Tribolium castaneum: one gene and its partner. The protein of the gene in region 1 purifies or fractionates together with the protein of each later gene. This does not show direct contact. Links are inferred from orthologs where the notes say so. Each region holds a gene or a part of one and is shown on either strand. Other genes may lie near its edges.

The links. The genes of interacting proteins can lie anywhere in the genome.
Region 2: the proteins of threonylcarbamoyladenosine tRNA methylthiotransferase (region 1) and galla-2 purify together in Homo sapiens (affinity purification with mass spectrometry; 3 studies listed by BioGRID and IntAct, with this or other methods). This does not show direct contact. The link is inferred for Tribolium castaneum from reciprocal best matches to the Homo sapiens genes CDKAL1 and CIAO2B.

What each region holds. Positions count from the first base shown.
Region 1 is NC_087394.1:32,857,735-32,861,866, reverse strand, and holds threonylcarbamoyladenosine tRNA methylthiotransferase, read right to left. Parts: upstream 2,801-4,132; 5' UTR 2,677-2,800; coding exon 2,660-2,676; intron 2,604-2,659; coding exon 2,474-2,603; intron 2,425-2,473; coding exon 2,201-2,424; intron 2,150-2,200; coding exon 1,728-2,149; intron 1,340-1,727; coding exon 495-1,339; 3' UTR 444-494; downstream 1-443. Other genes in the region: l(3)04053 (endosome-associated-trafficking regulator 1), read right to left, coding at 1-124; 2-oxoglutarate and iron-dependent oxygenase domain-containing protein 3, read left to right, coding at 2,921-2,929, 2,979-3,061, 3,114-3,705, 3,753-4,025. UniProt on the Homo sapiens protein: Catalyzes the methylthiolation of N6-threonylcarbamoyladenosine (t(6)A), leading to the formation of 2-methylthio-N6-threonylcarbamoyladenosine (ms(2)t(6)A) at position 37 in tRNAs that read codons beginning with adenine.
Region 2 is NC_087394.1:1,674,520-1,678,588, reverse strand, and holds the start of galla-2 (MIP18 family protein galla-2), read left to right. Parts: upstream 1-1,269; 5' UTR 1,270-1,404; coding exon 1,405-1,422; intron 1,423-4,069. Other genes in the region: ltl (insulin-like growth factor-binding protein complex acid labile subunit), read right to left, coding at 727-1,040.

The DNA of each region.
Region 1 (4,132 bases):
CGTCGCCCAAGTCCAGAAGGACAGGTTGAACGGACTCCTCGGAATCAGACTCCTCACTAAATGGGGCTGTGTGAGACTTTCCACGACTGTTTTCCGGCAATTCATTCGCATCAGCCATTATCATACACGCTCAAAATAAATAAACGTCAACTTTTGTGATGCTGTCAAGTGTCAGTTTTGTCAACTGCGAGCGCGCCTACTAATTCGAATTAGAAATTGATAAAATTTTCAAAAATACAAGTTTATTTCAACCTCTAGTCGTTAGTCAGGGTTCTGTTGTTGTGTCATACGCCCTAACAGATCATTACCATTTTCTGAAACCGATGATTTGTATATTGACAACTAAAGGTTGGTACTGCTTAGAGAATTCTTCCCGAAAAAAATACTGGACTATGAATTAGTACTGCCAACGTAACACTTGCGCAAAGGTGAATCCAAAAAAATTCTTTTGAAATCAAATAATTTATATTTGTTTAATAATAAAATTTAACAACTTAAAGTATCATCCACAAGAATCTGAAAATAATAGACACTCCTAACACAACTAGGGTGATTAGCACCCTCACATCGTCCGTTTTCTTCAACTTGACTCCCGAAACTTCGCCGTGTTGTAATGGCTTGGCAATTCCAGGCATGACCTGGCTTAGGGGTTCCCCCGTCATTGAGAATTTCGTCGCACTCACAATTTTCACAGTGACCAGCTTCCCCATGTACTTCTCATCTTTCGGCACCAAAACTTGCTCGTAAAATTTGTTATGCCCCACGTAATGTTTCTTATCGTGGGACACTTCCGTTACTAGCACCTCCTGTACTTCCCCTACTTTCTTATCATACGGCTGATACGAATAAAACAAATCGGTCAACCGCTTAGTTCTGCCTTTCACTTCTTGCGCTGGTATTCTCGGAAGCAGAGCCGCCGGTGTGCCAGGCCTTGGGAAGAACTGGTTGATAAATAAACTAGGGAACTTGTATTTTTCGCATAGGGATAAAGTGTCTTCAAAATCTTTTTCCGTTTCTGTGGGAAATCCACAGATTATGTCGGTGGCAATCGTCATGCCTGGGATTTGCGATTGGAGGAAATCAACAACGTGTTCAAAATCTTTTCGGAAGTATTCGCGTTTCATGTCGGAGAGGACTTGGTCGCTTCCGGATTGGACTGGAACGTGGAGAAAACTGTACACACGGGGGTGGTTCATTATTTTTGCAACTTCTGATAAGTGTTCGAGGATGTAAGGGGGGTTGGTCATCCCTAATCTCAAGCGACAGCCTTCAGGAATTACTTCGACAAGCTTCCAAAGCAGCTCCGGGAGCGAAGTCCCGATGTCCCTTCCATATGTGCCTAAAATAAGCCAGAATTAAATTTCAGGCCAAAGTGCGACGACAGTTTTTTTTGAAGGACTTGTCTTCACTCTGCTCGTCACATTGCAAACATTTACGATTCTTTAATAGATAAACTCAGTTGTTAGAACAACTCTAGCTAGAACCTAACAAGAACTGGGTAAAATATGTACTCTAATTTTTATTGTAACAATTATTTTAACGATATTTTGCAAAATATTTGCAATTCTATTTGAAAAACCTGCAAAAACGCAAAAACAAAAATATCATTTTTGTCCCAATGCAGTGATTATTAAGTTTGTTACTTCTGCAATGAAAAATATTTGGGGAAAAACATATATTCGGGTTTTAAACGTTGCCATAGCTCACTATGATGCAAAATTAAATACCTGTATCTTCCGACGTGAGCCATATCTCAACAACACCCTCTTCAAAAGCTTGTTTCGCCCTTTCCACGATCTCTTCAGGTGGATAACTTCCTAATTCCCCCCTGGCATGTTTAGTTTTACAGTAAGTACACTGATTTAAACACCCTGTATTGATAGCAATAATTTCAATCAAGGGATTTCGCCTAACTTTAGGCAACAGCAAAGAAGCACCCCCAATTTTTTTCCCTTGTTCTTTTTTTGTACCCAACAATTTGACCGTATTTCCCTTCAAAGTCTCCTCAACAACTTCCACAACTCTGTCAATTTGCTGCACCCCTATAATGCTAAGACCTTGAATGAAGGAGGCTTTAGGGGCGCCCTGCGGGACACAACCGGCCACAACAATGTACTTTCCTAGTTCTTTGGCCTCTTGAATTTGATTTCTGTAAAAATTATTGAAAGATTTTATCAATAATGTGGTAAAAAAAAATTACCTAAAGTGATCCTCAGCTGGGTTTTTGACTGTACAACTATTGAGTAACCAAAGGTCGGCCTCTTTTTTGTTTTCGGTCAATTTGTAACCGTAAGCAGTCAACTGACCAGCCATGTACTCAGTGTCTGAGCTGTTGTGGGCACAGCCCCACGTTTTAATGTAAATTTTTTGAGTCCCTGGAATATTTTCACCGCTGACTGGCTCCACATTTTCAATCTTTTTGTCCTACAAACAAATGCATAATTTTTGCCGAACTTTAAGACACAAATTTTACCCTCTTTTTAGCTTTGACTTTAACGTTTTTACGCGAACTGTATCGTTCTTTCGGTGTTATGTCTTGAGCGGATACAAGGTCCTCAATGTCGTCGATTATTTCGGCACATGGGGCCGAAGGATTTAAATCGCTGTTTATCAAATAAAAATACAATTTAGTTGAAACATAATAGGCCTAAAAAAATACCTGTTTTCTGCTATCATTGTGTAATTACGTGGCACTTGAAAGTAATTTTATGCTTTTTGCATTCAAACCCTTTGTTCTTTTCGATTTGTTGTAAAAAAACTGTTGCAAACTGACACGAGTTCTCGAATATTAGGTTATATTTGCCCGAGTTTTAGGTTATGAAATGTGTCAAAAAAATGGAGATGTCAAAATAAGGGATGTTTTTTTAATTACTCGTTAATTTTACAATTTGATGTAATTTCCACCAGGAATTGGATGTAAATGACAAACGTGTGATCTACCAATACACTTTTGGACACAAATTATTAGAATTTTTTAGGTTATGACCGGAATAACAAAGGCACAAAAACGCAAGAACGGTGAAAAGAAAAATAACGATGTGAAAGAAACACCAACACCTTAGTACGATTTTTATTATTCCACGTTAAGCGTTCTGATCTTTTGTACATTTTAGCCGTTATGGCCCCATGCCAAAGTTCCCAAATCAGCGCATTTGGAGCCGAGGTATTGTCATATTAGGAGTTCTCTTATACGTTTGGTACACGTCAAAGGATGGCAAAGAAGTGTCGTTGGCGAAGCAAAAGGATATTTTACCCATGAGGGGGCAAACGGTGGACTGTGACACCAAATATTTGGATGAAATTAAACAATTCCCCACTTGTGTTCCAATTAAATGCGGGAGGTTTGTCTCCGATAAACTTGTCACAATTAACGAAGCAGAAACTCTGCTAAATGTGGCCAAGAAAGGAATCAGTCTAGGGGGCTCCTCTGGAGGCGCTTCAATCTTGGACATCCACTCAGGTGCCCTTTCGTTTGGGGAGAAATTTGTAAATATTTACACCCTGAAAGGGTCAGAAAAGTTCATCACAGCGTCGGATTTAGCAATTTATAAAATTGTCAAAAATAAGATCAAACATGCAATTGCTGAAAATTTCGGTATAGACAGTGAAAGTCTGTACTTGACGCATCCAACTTTTTTTTCGAAATTGTCCAACTTGGAGTCAAAGACGCCCCACGATGAGTATTGGCACATTCATGTGGACAAGGTGCCTATTTTAATTTATCAAAGTTAGTTTTCAAATATTTTTTTCAGGAAACTTATGAGTCATTTCATTACACATCGTTGTTGTATCTCACGGATTTTTCTAACGATTTTAAAGGAGGACGTTTCGTGTTTGTAGACGATGCCGAGAAACCGATGAAAAATGTTACAGTAGAGCCCAGGAAAGGAAGAGTCTTGATGTTCACCTCAGGTGCTGAGAATCCCCATTTTGTCGAACGAGTGACTTCTGGTGTTAGGTACGCAATTACCGTTTCGTTCACTTGTGACAAAACAAAGTCAATCAGTGATCCAGCAGCACATTAGCTAGTCAGTAAGTAATTAGAGTACTTAAACATTCCTCAGTATAAGTAATGGTTCGAATAATCGAGGCCGCACTGTAGTTACTGTAGATAACTGTTATTTGCCCTGTA
Region 2 (4,069 bases), about 31 Mb from region 1:
TTGATTTGTTAGTTCAAACGTCAAAAATAAATTATATAATATATTCTTTTTATTAGGGTTGTCCAAATTAAAAAAATATAGTAATATCAAAAATAAAATATGAGCTCAGAATAAATTATGCACACGCAATAAGTGTCAAAAAGTCAGTAGCAAATTGTACCCAACTGTACTAGAGCTGTCTAAAATTTAAAAATATGTCAATAGTACACAACACAATCATATATGAAAACAGATTTATCTAGGGCTTTTCAAACTTTAAAACAGCAAAATTATCCATTTTTTAATATTGGAAAGTGAAAAAATAAATGAAAAAAGCTTGACTAAGTGCCAAATTGCTTAATAAGGGTTGTCCAAATTTGTATAAACGTCCGAATTCCGAGTAAATCCAAAAGGAAAAGTGCAATTATGGTCAATTTAGTGAAAACGTGTGCCGATTTAAGTCCGCAAAGTCGCTTCAGAGAAGCAATCATCAAATCAATTACCGTTTGTTATTTCTTGCGAATGTCTTTATCAGCAGCGCTTCCAAAAACCGCGTCGATGTCAGAGATTTCATTCATTAAAGCGACGATATCGTGCCATTAGCGAGTAATTCCGGGAAAATGAATTTACCAGCGATAATAATCGAGCAGGCGACGCTGTAATTGAAACATGAGAAGGTCGGAGGTTATCTGTTTGTTTCGCCTGTCATTTGTCATCCTCATCACTACGTCAATTTATCACCCTTACCCCAGTCCGTCGTGGTTGAGCTTGAGGTTCTCGATGGAGATGTTGAGCTCGTTGAAGGCCCTGAAGGGCAGGTCGTCCAGCTTGCTGAAGGAGATCTTGAGCGAGACGCGGTCCTCGGGCGCGAAGTGGCCCTTGAGGAGGCGCACCACCTGGTCGTAGGAGGTCATCTTGTCGCAGTGGATGGTGGTGAGCTTGGTGGAGTCCATGCGGCAGGTGCAGGGCGCGATCTCCTTCCACATGGGGCAGTGGGGGATGCCCACGGAGAGGCCCAGGATGGAGAGCAGCAGGGCCGACATGGTGAAGGCGGTTGTCATCGGAGGAGGCCCTTGGTGTTGGCTTTGAGCCGGTCAATGTGTGACTGAGTGACGGTGGCGCCTAAATTTTCTTGAGTGGAGCGCGGCGCCACTGCCCGCCATATCTCTAGCGGTGTCCCCGGGGTACAACGTGTGTGCAACTCCACCAAGATAATTAGATGCATTCGGCCAGAACGAGATTTATTATTGCGAGGAGGACGTGGCGCCCGACGAACGACTGCACTTCCTCATTTAGATTGGCGCCGAAGCCGCAGGCCCTTCTTACCTTACCTTCACACACTTACCCAACAAACCCTTGGACGCGCAAACGCTCACTACCTAGTGCTCAGTGGTAAGTGGGTTTTTTTGTGTCAGGATTTTTTCGATGCCGACTGATGGAAACGTAAGTATTAAGTTTTATTTTCCTTAGAAAAATACAGGTGACCAAAAAATTACCAACACAGGCTGTCCCATGTAAATGTAAGAAAATTTATTTTTTTTCATTAATCCAAAATTATTTTCAAGTAGGCATACAAGATGTTTTTGAGATTTGCTACAATTCAAACTTACGAGTATGTTTTTTTTTAATGGAATTGCATTTATGGGTGTAGCTTTTAATATTGATGTTTCTAAACTAATTAAAGTCACTTTGTGCTTTATCACCATCCGAGAGATTTTTTGAATCTACCTGCATGTATATAGTATATACAGCGTGCTCCAAAACTGGCGCACCAACTCAATGGTGTGTGGTAGAGAAGTGGTTACATATAATGGTAAAAATAGTAAAAAAACTATTTGTATTAAAGTTATTGATAAATAACGAATTTTAAATAAGTGATATGTGGCAACGTTGCCCAACAGTCGTGATCGTAATAGAATTTGAGCAACAATAAAAATAAATTATTTTTGAAACGGTTTCCTAGGAAATAATTCCCAGTGTTGGCACATCTACACATTGTGATTTTTTGGATGAATTTTAAATTAAAAAAACTGCTAAAATCTGATAGTAAATTTTAAAATAATTATTCATCGTTTTGTTACGGAACGATTACCTGGTATGAAACATAAAAATATAAAAAAACAATGAAAACTAAAGAAGTTAACACAATAAGTTTGTAGCTCCAGATTTTTTAAAATATAACTTTGGGAATTTTTTCAACATTTTTCCCGTAATATGGACTTGCTTCTCAATAACGTACCACTGAGTTGGTGCGCCAGTTTTTGAGCACCCTGTAGCCTGTACAGGATGTTCCAAGTTTTATGGCCAAAAATAAATATAAACAATAGCGAATTAATTATGCTACCTTTTGATACTTTAATATTGTTTAGTTCAAAGTTTTAAGGTATTGTTGTCATTATTAAAACCCAATTTTCTGAAAAATTGTTTTTAAGTTATTGGTGTTTTTTTTAATTTGGCAACATTTAGTAATGTTACATGGTAATACTTTTGGTTAATATTTTTTTAAATGTATAAAAATAGGTGTACTTGTACGGCGTTGCCATTTTTTGTTTTTAATTTCAGCCAAATGAAAGGTTTTGTGATTTTTTTATCGAAAATAGTGTTCTGTATAGCTCCATCTAGCTGCTCTTAAGAGCCTATCCACGACTTTTGACCCACCCGATATAATCAGTTAATCGCAGAATTAAGATCTTTGAAATTAAATATTTCTATTTCTATTTCTATTTCTATTTCTATTTCTATTTCTATTTCTATTTCTATTTCTATTTCTATTTCTATTTCTATTTCTATTTCTATTTCTATTTCTATTTCTATTTCTATTTCTATTTCTATTTCTATTTCTATTTCTATTTCTATTTCTATTTCTATTTCTATTTCTATTTCTATTTCTATTTCTATTTCTATTTCTATTTCTATTTCTATTTCTATTTCTATTTCTATTTCTATTTCTATTTCTATTTCTATTTCTATTTCTATTTCTATTTCTATTTCTATTTCTATTTCTGTTTCTGTTTCTGTTTCTGTTTCTTTTTCTTTTTCATACTTAATTATTTTTTTTACATGTGAATTTTTGTAGAATTTTTCTACGATTAATATTAATTCGCTTCATAAAATTATAATTCTAAAACGAACAATGAACGATGAATGTTGTTTAGTGCATAAAAAAAATGACACTAGTTCCAAAAGATAATTAATCAATTCAAAAAACCCAACGTAGTGAGCCGAATTATTATTAAATAGTAATATGAATTTTTATTATATTTTTTTTCTAAACGTGCAAAAATATAATATAAAAAACAACACATTTAGCTAGGACTAGGTCATATCAGAAAACATTACATTATTGTGAATATTTTTTATTATAAAAATTAACACTAACAAATCATAATTTGTTAAACCATTTTCTATTTAATCAAGTCATCCTGACATTATTGCCTAAGCATATAAAGTACATACTTTTGCTGTTTAATAAATAAAATAAGCTGAGTTCCGTCATAAATAAAATCATACGACGTATCATCTATATCAATAATTTAGATTAAGCAATATATTTTAATAATATTTAATTTAGGAATGGTCGAAAAATTCTGAAAACATTCACAATTTTTAGTATTATAGTTTCCGAGAAAAACGCAAAAATTATGACATTTTTTTCACTTTTCAAACGCTGATTACGGCGAAACTAAAAGGTCTAGGAGCGTCTTATTCCACCTTCTCATCTTCCATTATAAGTTGTCTAAAAAAATAAAAATACAAAATAAAAAAATATGTAAAGATTTTTGACCTAATTTGTACATTTCTGGATTTTGTGAGGGAATCTTGCAAAACAATCAGTTTTTGTTCAAATAATCTAAAAAAAAAATTTTATTCGAATAAATTTTGCGAAATGTTTCTCTGTTTCTCACAATTATTTTTGAATAAATTTCACTTCAAGCGAAATTAATCGAAAAAATTTTGCCATTTTTGGTCTATTTTAATGACTTTAAGGCTTCTTTTTAAGAGTATTTTGTGAAATAATAAGGTTTCTGACTGGAATGTGCGTTAAAACAATTGAAAAAAACAAGTGCTAGACTAAATGTGCTCTTTTTTT